Drosophila melanogaster: one gene and its partners. The protein of the gene in region 3 interacts with the protein of the main gene of each other region in a pairwise test. Each region holds a gene or a part of one and is shown on either strand. Other genes may lie near its edges.

Region 1 (4,775 bases), on a different chromosome or scaffold from region 3:
AGGATTTCGAATACCTCGAATTCCAAAAGGTTTCGAAACCACTTCGAAAGGTAGTTTCGAGCGATTAGGTGCGATTGAAAAATTCCTCGCAATGCAACTGCAGTTCCGTCCGCCGCCTGCACAATATGCAAATGTGTGAGTTCGTATTGGGACTAACCGGCCTTATTGATTTTGCAGCCCCGTTCCCAACTTGAGTCAGCCGTTGATCCTTATGGAGCCATGGCGATTTCTTTAGAAGGAAAAGCTTGCTGACATCTTGAGTCACCCTATTTCTGACACACGAACGCGCTCTACTCGGCGTACATAACAACACCACCACCAAACCCCCCCCCCCCCCGCACAACACAATAAAATTATTATTTATAGACGCCGAAAGAAGCGAATGAAAACAATAAGTCGGCTAGAAAATCAGTGCGAATACAGAGCAGCCAGAGGCAGTAAAACGTCATCGTTTTGCTCGATTGCAGTGAGTTTGTGTTATTGCGGGGATGCGCTGGGGGTTGGAGGTTGGTGATTGGGTTGGGGGTGCTCATTGGTTAGCCACTGGCGTCACGTGGTGCCTACTTGCGGTTAGGGCAATTTAAAAACGTAAACAAACCGAGCGGACTGAATGGAAGAACTCATGCGGGGGGATCGATGTAGGATTATGGGACGCAGGAGGTAAAGTTTGCTTGGTACCACTGTCGAAAAAACTGGACCACATAAGTAAGTATGTAGTGTGTGGAATCACATCCCATTCGGGATAAGCACACTGTGTGGCGAAGGGTATCGAACTAATGGGTTGCGTCAACAATGAGGCCCACTGTGCCCGCACAGTGGGAACGCGAATAGTGAGGCCATCCCCGAACGGCTCACATATTGGAGCAGCTCGTTACGGTTCGATAAATTTATTTCCTGCCTGTGAGAGACACGTGGAATACACGCGGCGTATACTTTATGTTCATATTTTATCCGCATGAGAGTGATGGGAAAGAAAACTGGAAAAAAGCTTACTTTACTAAGTCGAAGCTGGTATGCCCTTTAATATTATTTCATTAATTGTCAATTTATATTTTTATTTACATTACAGGCTTATACTGTGTCACTCAGAAATGGAACCTAATACCATTTTGTCAATACAAATTAAATGCATTTGGTCGAGTTACTTCGTTACTCAGTTGAGAGATTGAGTTGAGATATCTTAACAGAAAAGCGTTAAAGAGACGTCGCTTTCCAATGAGCAGTATTAGTTAACGTTTCTAGTAGTCCGTCATGAACACGTCTTGAAATAAACGTGTGGTCGAACTTTATACAAAATTACGGACGGACGGACACGCCCAGCTCTATTTGTTAAAAGATCCTGATCTTCTGATCATGTCTCAGTGTCAGTTCATGTCAAGAACATTTTTTTTGAAGATGAAGTGTTCAAGTGATCATGAAGTGATCGAAGGAAGTTTATCTTATAATATTGGCAAATATGGTATTTGTAGCCGAAAATAGAAATATATACTAAATTCTTATATTAATTTTATAGCACAATAAAAATGTTTTACCAAATAGGGACAACGATATCGATGAAGTACTTACAGACTGACGAATGGGCCGCGCAGTGCCGGCATATCCCGCCGTCGGTTGAGCGGCGGCGACAGCGACAGCGAGAGGAAGTCCTGCTGGGCCTTGTCCTCGTCGACGATGCTGGTCGGGGTGCTGTAGATGCGCGTAGTTGGCAGATAGCCAATCTGCTGCAGAAAGTCGTCGCGGTAGGAGAGCTTGGTGGTGGACTGAGAGGAGGTCAGCGGCAGGGACAGCGGGGATCCATAGAGCGGAGCCAGTGGCAGGGCCGCTGTCATCGAGGCCAGCGACAGAGGCTGCTGGTAGAGTCCTCCTGCACCGCTGCCAGATCCCGGTCCCGATCCCACACCGGAACCTGATCCCGCAGCTGTGCCGTTCCCATGGTGGTGTAGGTGGAGGTGGTGCGGCGTGGTGGCCGCAGGCTGAGTACCGTGAAAATGCGGATAGGGAATGCCGTGGGTGTAGGCTGGAGCGCGCGACAAGTACGGCGTATTGATGATCTTGTCGTCGAAGCTGCGACGGAAACTAAAGCCCTTCAGTGAGTTGCTGTAGTTTCGGTGAGAAAGCGGCGAGCTGCCCAGGTCAATGCTGGCCGCCGGGCCCAGGATCCCGGCAGTTAGACCGCATCCTGAGGAGGCGGTAACGCCGCTGGCCGTCGCCGTGGCGCTACCCAGCATACTCAGCGCAGGTGAGGTGCGCAGCTGAGGGCTGCCGCCCACTCCTCCGCCTGCACCGGAGGCCGTGGTGGTCGAGGTGGAGAGTGGCGGCGAGATGGCACTCAAAGTGGAGATGCCGCTGTCACTACTACATATGCCGGCCGGCAGTGACGTGTGGGTGGGCGAGATGAGGTGTGGGTGGTGGTGTTTGCCATTTGCGGCACCGATGAGGCCGGCCATGCCGCTACTGGGCAGTACGGGAGCCAGGATGCCTCCCGGGATGAGTTTCCTGATCTGCGCGGGGCTGGTCCTCGCCCTGTCCTAATGAATGCTGGGAAGCTAGAAGCAGCTTCCTCGCGTCTTTGTCCTCATCGTTGGCCTGCGCCCTTTGTTCCTGGTGAGGACTTCGTATATCATTCCTTGTGCGTAGGAAAATCAATGAAGGGACGCGCTTAAAACATGCATTTTAAGCAGCGCTTTTCTCGCTTTGTAACCCAAATTGCGCATGAAAAAAGTAAGGCGAAAATCCACACACGCACGCACACACTGCCACGAACTGGTTCGCGATAGAAGAGGGTTTTTCCACGGTCTGCCCTCAATTGGGCCTATTGGATTCCCTTTCGCCTTTCTTCGATGCTTTTGGCCAGGTACGTGCCCGTAGTCTAGTTAATAGCGGAATTGATTTATCCTCGACAAATAAAGCGAACACATCACATTTTCCACTTTGTGTTTTTGGCAGAAGCAGCAGCACGGAAAAGTCTTCTTTGTCCGCACTTGGCTCGAACTCTCCGACGGTCTGCCCTCCGGGTTCTGAAGCGGAAAACTCTGCGGCGAAGTTCAGCGATTCCGGGGAGCGGGCAAAGCGCATGTGCCGGCTGTGGCCCGTTACTGTCCCAAAACAAAACAAAGCCCGAGCGGAGAGAGTGAAAGCTAACTGCAAGCAGCTGGCGTCGTCGAAAGTTCCATCCCCGAAAATCAGTTTGTTTACCATCCTGGCAGAGCTTTTCATGGGCAAAGCCGACTAGGCAATACCCTTTGTAAAACAAAGCGGTGAGTTTGTATAATAAATTTATTTCGGCTTCTTCGTGTTAGACCAGAATACAATTGAAATTTGGAAACAATTGTTAAGTTTAAATTTAGTTTACTTAGTATTTTTGCTTTGACTTGTACGAACAATAAATACACACGCAAGACCGTAAAATGTAATTATTAATAATTGAATTTTATATATGTATGCGTGTTTATACTATAGATGAGCCGGCGACTCTCGGATCCCGGCCCTAGACCCAGGCGCCCAAGGACTTTTATCCTGGCCCGGAGCTGATCGGCAATAATTGATGTCAATGATTTAGAATGGGATACTACAATATAAAAGTTAATTACTGCTGGACTAATCGCATTCATTTACATTTAAAAGCGGGTTAACAATCAAACAAAAATTAATTAGATTCAATTCAATTTTGAAACAATTTGGAATACATAAATATGTGCAATACTTTCGGGGGTTACAATTCAACTTTTGATTACTCGTATTTAATTGTTTTATATATAGAGGGGATTATTAATATCTGTTATATAATTTATATTTGCGTTAATTGGATCGCCCTTCAAAGTGTCCTCTTCTTCGTCCTCCTCTGTTTAACTGTGTGATGCTTAATTGTTTAACTCGTATTTACATTTGCATTAGAATCGGATCGGAGCAATCTGCTGGGCGCGTCGCTCGACAATTCATCCTTTTTACATAAGTAGTTCTGGCTTTAACAATTTAGTGCAAAATAACAGAAACAATCGGTGAAGAGGAGATCTCGAGAACAAATTAGCTAGACTAAGCGACGACACAAATGCCACAAACTAGATACACATATCATATACATATATATAATTACAGTGCCTCTCTTCGCGACTGAATCCCAACTCACGGGCTAAGCCGCAAGGGATCCGATCCCCAAGCAAATGTCTAGACAAACTTCCGATATACAATTTCATCAACACCGAATGGTGTTTTGGTGATTAGCATGACTGGATAGGTGGAGATGGTGGCTTCGCGGCTTGGCTATCGATTCGAGTTGTATAGTGGTACAGCTGCAAGGCTAGATGCATGGCTTGAACAATGGAATTGGTGAATCGATTGCCCGAAGTGGACCAAAATCAACCTGACTGACCGGAGGGCGGCCACGAAGTTCGATAGTTTAAAATTAGAGCTAAGTGCTACGGCTTAAAATAAATACATTGGTTTCTATGTTTACTCGCTTCAACATATCGCGCATTTTAAAAACAACACTAATAATTATGAAATAAATCTGGTTTTCTCTTCTGTTACGATTTAGGGGCTTGTGTTTTCTGTGTCTGTATCTGAATGTGTGGTGTACGCAAGCACCCGGGTCTTGACTCGCTCGCAGCACTTGACTAATATTTTTGATTAACCATATCTAGAGTGAAGAGAGGGGGAGAGAGAAGTAGACAGTGATAAGTGAAAAGAAATCAAAATGTACGCGTTGCATAAGAAACGATAAAACTAAAATCCGTCAAACTTAAGCTACATTCTTTGAATATGTCTTGGATGGAAAT
Region 2 (4,605 bases), on a different chromosome or scaffold from region 3:
ATCTGACAGACACCGAGTGGGCGGTATTCAAGTTCGATGGCGCCCAGATTATTGTACATGCGCGCGGTCAGTGCTTTGAGGAATTCCGACAGCAGTTCGGCGACTCGGAGCGCGCCTTTGGCTACATACGCATCCAGATGGGTGACGAGATGTCCAAGCGCAAAAAGTTCATCTTCCTGACGTGGATCGGGCAGGAGGTGGGCGTCATCCAGAGGGCCAAGATGTCCACGGACAAGGCGCTGATCAAGGATGTCCTCAACGTGAGTAGCCAATAGCTAGAGATGCCAGAGCCCAGAGGCAGAAATAGATCCTCTCATCTCTAATCTCTTGCAGAATTTTGCCGTGGAACTTCAGGCGGGAGTGGAGGCCGAGCTGGACATTGAGCTCTTCCGTGAAGCACTGAACCGTGCCGGCGGCGCCAACTACGGAACGGGCATCCGGGATAACTAAGCGGCCTCCAAGTTACTTTACATATACATTTTTTTTTGCAACTCTTAACTGCTTACCAAACTGCTCCTTTCTCTTTAATTATTATGAATTAATTTTATGAAATTTAAAAACTGTACATTTTATGAAATATTATACAAGCAATTGTAACATTACTGGGTCCTCTTATTTATCGTATAATCATAATCCATAGTGTCATTCAAAAAAGGTAAAAGAAAAGTTTTCAATACCAAATTTCAAGAGCGGATGCAAAATCATTATCAATGCCATACATTTAATTGTGTATATAGTGGGACTGATGAATTACTTTGATGATAAGACAAAAATTTTAGCCACCTAATACTGAATACTGAAGTGGACAGATATGCCAGAATTTGCATTAGAAAATTCAAGTTTCTATAGTAAAGAAATGTTCTCGTTTAAACTAGTCTGGTTTTCTGAACATACGCTGGATGGATCGATTCGAATTTAATAAGCGCGAAATGAAAATGGACTACGTTGTTGAACTAAATACTACGGAGATGATGAAAATGATGAGAAAAATTATCTAGTTGCTTTAGTTCCCGGGCTCTGCCTCTCGCTTCCTAGCGGACCCTGAAGAGTACCGAGTGAAGTGCATCGATGTCCACCTCCACGCCAGACGAGTTTGTGGTCACGGTGCGAGAGCTACGGCCGAGAACGTTGAACAATACTGCTTGGTATCTTTAAAGCATATCACTCACCTGGCTTTGTGCACCGAGCGACGGGAGGAGTGCGGATTAACCAGCACACAGTGCATGGGCTGGTCATCGAACTGACGATGGTGATAGGTATCTACGGCCTTCTCGGCATGTTCCAGTGACTTGTAAATAACTTCGGCGGTGCCGGGACGCACCACACGAGCGTCGTACACTGGGCCGATGTCGCTAAAAAGCTCGCGAATATCCGCAGTAGTCACGTTAGTATGCAGATTGCTCACCAGCAGGCGGTATCCATCCTTTGTGTTCGACGTACGCAGCGACAATGGGGATGGCGAACGGCGCTTGTTCTTCGATGGAGCAGCTGCATCACCATCACTATCAGTACCGCTATCGCTATCCCTAGCACCACCGCCACCAACAGCCTTTCTCCGGTTCTCGTTGGCGTAGATGCCATGAGAAATGTGAGGATCCCTCTTACCGACAAACAGACGAGACCGCAGCGATTCTGGGAGTTTACTTGTGCTTGCTGTGTCGCGGTGGCGGCGCTCGAGAGGCTCCTTGGTGGTATTTGAGCGTCCAACTACGAGTCGGTTGGTCAGCGAAGGACGCTCAATGCGATTGCGGGCCGCCTCGTAAATGGAGAATGCATTGTTATCTATTTTGTTATTTAGTGGGGCCATGGACATCTCCACGTCGTCGCCGCGGTTCAGGTCGAGCCCACCAATTGAGTAGCGTGGCGACGCTTGCTTCATTTGCCCTAAGTGCAGTGTGCGAGATATTTCCTCTGAAAGTAGAAGAGTGCTTTTTAGGAACGGCTTGGCAGAGAAAGGCACTAACTAACCATCCTCGAGGTCCTGCATATTATCAAGATCAATATAGCGTCGTGGAGCAAAGGGTTTGCCCGGCTTATGGGATCTGGGGTCAAAGGTTCGACGCAAGCCGGACAACATGTGGTTACCCAGTTCAACGACCCCGTCGTCCGAGTCCCATTTCGCCTGAATGGTGCCGTCCGCATGGTTTGACATGCTAAGGCGGTGACCAAACTGACCGATGTGCACTCCCTTTCCGCGTGCGCGATGTGATGGCTCAAACGACTCTTCTTCGTCATCAATAAGTATTGGGCCCGCCGAACGGGCCTTCTTTCGCTCCAGCAACAGCTGGCGGGCATCGATGCCCGAGTCGCGCACGCTCTTGTTGATCAGATCCCGGGCATCGGCTATCTTGGCCCGTGTCTTCGCGGCGATCGTGTTTCTGGCATCGAAGGTGCGCTTTGCCGGCGTATCAGAGTGAGATCCTCGGGCACCCGATGGCTTGAAAAAAGGCTTGTTCAGCAGCTGGCGCGGCTTGGAGAAGTTCGCATTGCTGCAATGGAAAACGCATTGAGTGACATTCTATTTTTTCGGCTGTCCTGTAAATGTACTTACAACTTTCTGTCGAGGGGACGATAGCCGCGTTGCCCGCGCTTCCGCTCTATAATCTCGTCCAGACTCAAATCGATGTCCATGGCTCACAGTATACGCTTTTCACACCTTTTCCTAAGCTATGTGTGAAGTAAAAACAACCAGATTCAAATTATCCTGACTATTCGAACTACGTTCGTAAAAAAAAAATAGGACTGGCGTTTCACTGGTGACACTTGGGGTGGCAAACTATCGTCCAGCACTATCGATAGCAACTATCGCTTAAAAACATCTATGTTATTCTGGATATAAAATGTAAAAAAGAAACAGCAATATACTAACACTTATACAAATATACGATTAATACTATTAAACTACTTGTTCATTTACAAAAACAATTTTTGCATGTCTTAACATTAGTTTGTAGAAGATTGAAAATTCTCAGAACTGTCAATGATATATTAAGCTACATAATACGTTTTATCCACTGACATTACGAGTCACTAATTCACAGTGTGCCCCTTCGCACAACCGAGAACAATCGCGCTTAGGTGCTAGCCGACGTCTGGTCTGGTAACACTGATACCTGCGCAACAACAAAAACAACACCACATACTAAAACAAAAACCTCCGTGTGCTCTTCAGTCCTTGAACGCTCACCGGGACTGCCATTGTATGACTTCGATGAACAGAATTTGGCTTCACACTCTCTTCCTTCAGTGTAGGCCATGAGTGCGCCTCTTTTCACCCTTTAGTCGCTTTTTACGACAAGCCGGGAACGCTCAGGTAGTATTCTTCACTCGCCACCACACAGGACACCTGTTCGGGTTTAGCCACCTTCTCTGTTGGCCATCTCGTCTGATCGGACACGTTTAATCATTTTAATGATTAGACTGTGTCCCAGCTCCCATGCCTCGCTCTTTGCCAATATAGCTGCGAACAAGCCACTAGGGCTGAACGGAGCACCTGACTTCGTCTTTAGCTGCTCCCTCTCCATCGCAAACCTGGAGCAGTGCATTAGCACATGCTCTTCTGTTTTCTCACAAATGACGCAGAACAATCGACGTAGATAGGCCCGAATGCAGCCATGGTCCGTGTGAAACTGGGTTAGGTGGTAGTCCAAGCATTTGTGTTGGCACTCTGCCCAAACCGCCGACTCAGGAATGAGCTGGTAAGACCACCTGTTCTGCCACTCACCCAACAGCCACTCGTCGGTAAGCGCCACCCCGCTTTAGGCCGAGAGCCTTGATCTCCGATCAATTGGCGGCCTGCCAGAGTTAGTGCCGCGTCTTCACATATTGTCCTGAATCCTCTAATGAGCCTGAGGGCCATGGCTCCTTTCAGGTATGAACCCCTGCTTGTAGCATTGCTACAGATTGGTGCAGCGTACAGCAGCGAAGCCAGTTTCCTGGCCAGATAGCTTGGACCACCGATGTTGGGCACCAGTCTAGCCAATGAAGAAACTGTGACTGATGCATTCTTGCTGCCGTAACTCGCGTGGTTCTATCATAGCACCCAGGTACTTGAGGGACTCTTGGGAGGTCACCTGTGTCGCATTGACAGAGGACTAGCATATTCTCCACCTTTTTCCTGCTGCTTAGTACTTACTGCTTCGGTCTTGCGAGCCGCTATTGCTAGCCCGGCTTTCCAGTGGACGGCAGCTCCAATCGTGGTGTTACATTTGTCCTGCAACTCTGCAATTGTTTTGGCGACTGCTGTAATTGCCGCATCGTCTGCAAAACAGTGCAGCTCTACTCCCAAGGGCCTGTTGATGCTCCTCTACTATCGTATCCTCGTCCAGTCCACTGCAGGATAGTGCTATTCTTTGAGCTGCCGCACAGATGCCAAATCATTGACCGTCGCCTCTAGATCGCTTTTATACTTGGGAAAGCTTCCCGAGGCTTTTCCCACTACTTCGAGCAACAGCTCATCTAGCTGAGTTCTCCGAATTCTTCTGCCCAGTTCGCTAAGGCTCGGGTCCGATCTTAGTTTCCGGAGCATCTCTGCGTACCAAGCCTCACCCGTCTTCTTCACGATCCGTGCCTCAGGCTTTTTACGCGGGCGCATAGGCTTCACCT
Region 3 (4,143 bases):
TTGTTCCACAACGATCGAGGTACCTCCACCAGAGCATATCCCAGTAACAGGATGAGCAGAAACAATCCCCATGTGTTCGATGCGGACGAGGCAATTGCCTTGAGCTTTTGCCAATCCAGAGACTCTCCTTTGACGGCAATATAGATGAGTAGTACGCCACAGATGAACAGGTAGGAACCGTAGTAGATGGCATTCTCTATCAGTGCCGATTTAAGTTTTCCCTTGACGGTGAAGTCGCCCGCCTTAAGGTACGACTGCATCAGCGGCATAATCAACCAGGTGAGGAACTGTGAGCTCCAGTAAATAATGCGCCAGAGGTTTGGGAACACGGAGGCGGGCACCATGCCCCACGGTTCCTGGCACTGAGGCGGCGGACCCACCGTGGCGCTCGACGTGTTGGTCACATTTGGGGCTGGGGTCGGTCGGTGCTCCTCCACGCACTGCCGGTAAAGCGTCTGAAATGGCAATTATACAATTTGATTGTTAATTGTTATTAGCTCTAATCGAAGGAGTTGATAACCAAATGACAATAGGGTATATCCAAAGCCGGAAAGCGGTTAATTTGTGTTTCTATAATCAATTCGGGTTTTTTGTTGTCTAACTTTAGGGGTGATTCATTTGCAGATAAGAAATTCCAGACCAAAATCAATGTATGCTTACAATTTGAATGGTGTCGGCGAAGCTTTAGATAAAAAGTTAATTAATTTCCGTTCGAAATTTAAGTTTTGTTTAAAAATTACTAACGTTTCACATGCAATAAAATGCGACAAACTGTGTTTTGATGGAAATGGAAATCTAAAGATTACTTCTTTATGAACGAAACGTGTTTTTAAATATTTATAATTTCTAGTCGTTCTAGTCTTGTATATATTTATGATCGTTGGAATATATATTTTACCTGCAACATATACAAAACATATACAAAACCACAACATATGGCAGAAAGGACAGAAGCATTTGCACGTTTAAAAGTACTATATATGCACATCTACAAAATCATATTAATGCAACTATTTATTAAGTTATTTTAAGCTTTCTGTTGTTTCCTATTGCGGCTATATTCTATTCCAAATGGTCTTATAGCTTCACATTCCAACTCACCGATGTCACGTCCAGCGGAATGGTGAATACAATTAGAAAGGAGAAACACCAGGCGGTCAGCACGGACAGGGTGACCAGGATGTGCTGACGTGGTATGTTTCCGTAACGGTACAGCGAGATGCTGGCCAGGAATAGGGCGGCCACGATGCCAAAGCTTAGTAGGTACGCCATTGTGACTAGTGCTTATCCCGATCCCGATCCTGGTACGGGTGTACTCAGTTCTTGTGCTTTGCTGTGATTCTGTGTATTTGTGGTGCGTGCGTGTGGGTGTATGTGCTTATAACAAATGTATTTCTGCGATTAAGGACTGGTTCATAGCGAGCCTGTGGGCTCCGTGGACTTCTTCTTCTGCTGGCGCTTCTTCTGCAATTGGCGAGCGGTGTCCCGATGCATTTCCTCCAGGCGTTCCAGCGCCTGCGTCTTTAGCGGCATCAGATGTGGCCGGCAGAAAAGCAGCTCCGTTTTGTGCTCGAAAAACAATTTTCCGGTTGTGGGCTCAATCAGATCGATTTTCTGCAGCACCTCGGCCTCCACTGAGGACATCCTTTGGAGCTCCGCGGGCGGTCGGGGGGCGTGGCCGGGATGTGTTGGGAGCTGGCGTTGGTGGTATCTTCACTACGCCGGTACCAGTTCACCTTCGTTGTGTTTATTTGTTTTTTTTTCTCGGTCAATCAAATCAATCGACTTTATCAAAAAGTGTGAACGTGTGCGTGGGTGGGCCGAACAGCACTGTTAAATGAAGTGTAACGTGCGTTTTCATGTTGACATGCTCTGGTCACACTGGACTGTGGTGTTCACTTGGGAATTTATTTATTTATACCCATTTTATTGGGTAGGAGAGCATTTTTAAAGGCAAATAAATTTCTAATTAACAATGCTTTTTTATAATCATGATAGTTTCAAACATTTAGGTCTTGACCAACACTAGAAACACAAAACTTCTTTGCAGCGAGTTGGCAGCCCTTGGTCAATGTTTTTGTTTTGCTGGCACAGCAAAAGAAATTCTTAAATTAGGAAAATTTTATTTGGCCTGGCCAAGATTGCCCAGAAATGGAAGCGAATGAAAGTGCGATGCCAGGAACGGACAAATCCCAAGCTTGTCGCACCAGCGGCGATGGCATGGAGCAACCGGAAAACAGTGGAGCGGCCAAAACAGAGAGCGAAATCCCAGCGAGTGCTGATGTGGACAACAAGGTAAAGAGGCCACAATTATCGCGAAAAGACAGCTCCGTTGTCCAGGAGGCCGTCATGGGCAGGAAGACATCAACTAGTAGCGGCCACTCCTCAAATTTGCCCCTTCCTGGCTTGCATACCCTGTACAGACGACCCGAGAACGTCACCCGGAGTTTGGCGCCCGTTGTGCCCAAGGGGGAGCTGGTCCAGATGCGGCCAAGACTGGTCACCAGCGCGGACTCGCTGCCCGAACATAAGAAGACCAAGGCGCCCAAATTCGTGCCCTACGAACCATATCCGGGTGCCGTGAATCCCATGATCTCTGAGCCAACGAATAAACACAAAATCCATCGGGATAAGAACAACCTGGACATTGCGGTGCTGGTGGATCAGGTGTCCACGCTGCGCACACAGGAATTGGAGACTGAGACAACGGATATTAAAGAAACAGACACAGCCAGTAGCCATGAGGTAAACTCACTTAAAGAGGAGCTGGCCAAGATGCGCGATGAACGCAATTACTTTCAAGCCCAGTATAAGTTCCAAACGCAGGTGAATAGCGAGCTGAAGAGCCTGCTGGTGGCCTCCGTGGGCGAGGATCTGCAGACACGGGTTAATCTCCTCACCGAGGACAAACTACAGCTGGCCAGAGCTCTATTGGACACTGCCAACAATTTGACCACCCACACCGAGCAGATTGAGTTCCTGGCCGGCCAGTGTGAGGTCTGGCGGTCCAAATTCCTCGCCAGCAGCGTTATGGTTGAGGAGTTAGCCCGCTGGAAAGCCGATCTCACGCAGAAGAATCAGCTATTGAACGAGTCAACGAAGCAACTGCTTCATGCCACCCATCAGATCCGCGAAATTCAGCTAGATATGCTTAAGCAACTGAAGTTCCTGGCCAAGATTCGTTTCCTCAACCTGCCCGCCACCGATGTAATCAGCCTAAGTGCCGAAAACCTTAACATTCTCCAACGCATGGTCCTGCACACTGGCGTGGGCATTCCCGAGGAGACACTAAAGTTGTCCAGCGCCAGCACAAGTCCACTTTGTGAGGCGGAGAAGTACGCGGTTAGGGTAAGTACAGCGATAGTTAAAGTGATTCAAACATCCAGTTAATGGTACACCTTATTACCGTCCCACCAGGCCTTGGAATTCATTAGTCAGCCCCTGATGGCCACCGATGAAGCCATACGAGCACTTTTCGACCAGGCCCAGCGACCCCACTACGTGCAATCACCTGCATCCGAAGTAACTCCTGCCTGCGATAATCAGCAGCTAGATAAAATGCAATAGTTTTTCGACAGAAATCAATGTTATATGTGTGTGTAGGCCTAATAAATTTTATATACAATCAAATAACATAAATGCAATGCTTTAAAGGTGCTTAAAACGACAGATTCTTGAATTTTTGAAGATTTCCCATTTCCCATTTAAAGCAATCCTTTATTTGGCCTTCCTTTCGGTGGCGTACAGATCTAGACGTCTTTGCCCAAAGACGGGAATCTGCTGACGCACCTGCTCCACCTCGGAGAAATCTATATCGGCCACCACGATTTCCTCGCCTTCACTGGCACTCTGCTGCACCTTGGCCCATGGATTCACCACCATGGAATGGCCATAGGCTACATACTCGGCGCTTGTGTCACGGGCTGGTGATGTTGTGACCACAAAGAGTTGGTTGTCATTGGCACGGGATCGCTGCAATAGCTCCCAGTGCAGTGGACCAGTGGTCATGTTGAATGCAGCCGGATAGATGATCATCTCGCAGCCTGCGTTGCGATAGAGCCTCGCCATCTCCTCGAATCGAATATCGTAGCAGATGCCGATGCCAATCTTGTGGCCATCTACGTTGATGATGGTGAAATCATT

The links.
Region 1: the proteins of CG9356 (region 3) and Srpk79D interact in a two-hybrid assay, tested with the Drosophila melanogaster proteins (one large-scale study listed by BioGRID).
Region 2: the proteins of CG9356 (region 3) and CG18259 interact in a two-hybrid assay, tested with the Drosophila melanogaster proteins (one large-scale study listed by BioGRID).

The regions. Positions count from the first base shown.
Region 1 is NT_037436.4:22,272,230-22,277,004, reverse strand, and holds the start of Srpk79D (Serine-arginine protein kinase at 79D), read right to left. Parts: upstream 3,021-4,775; 5' UTR 2,448-3,020; coding exon 1,567-2,447; exon of another isoform or gene 1,514-1,566; intron 1,460-1,513; exon of another isoform or gene 1,289-1,459; intron 1-1,288. Other genes in the region: Csp (cysteine string protein), read right to left, coding at 4,614-4,636.
Region 2 is NC_004354.4:18,780,745-18,785,349, forward strand, and holds CG18259 (uncharacterized protein), read right to left. Parts: upstream 2,751-4,605; 5' UTR 2,632-2,750; coding exon 2,552-2,631; intron 2,490-2,551; coding exon 1,969-2,489; intron 1,912-1,968; coding exon 1,170-1,911; intron 1,114-1,169; coding exon 1,032-1,113; 3' UTR 521-1,031; downstream 1-520. Other genes in the region: CG6891 (uncharacterized protein), read left to right, coding at 1-260, 334-450.
Region 3 is NT_033777.3:9,402,048-9,406,190, reverse strand, and holds CG9356 (uncharacterized protein), read left to right. Parts: upstream 1-1,921; 5' UTR 1,922-1,953; intron 1,954-2,012; 5' UTR 2,013-2,151; coding exon 2,152-3,348; intron 3,349-3,417; coding exon 3,418-3,567; 3' UTR 3,568-3,627; downstream 3,628-4,143. Other genes in the region: CG8135 (uncharacterized protein), read right to left, coding at 1-455, 1,102-1,272; BBIP1 (BBSome interacting protein 1), read right to left, coding at 1,414-1,644; CG8132 (uncharacterized protein), read right to left, coding at 3,718-4,143.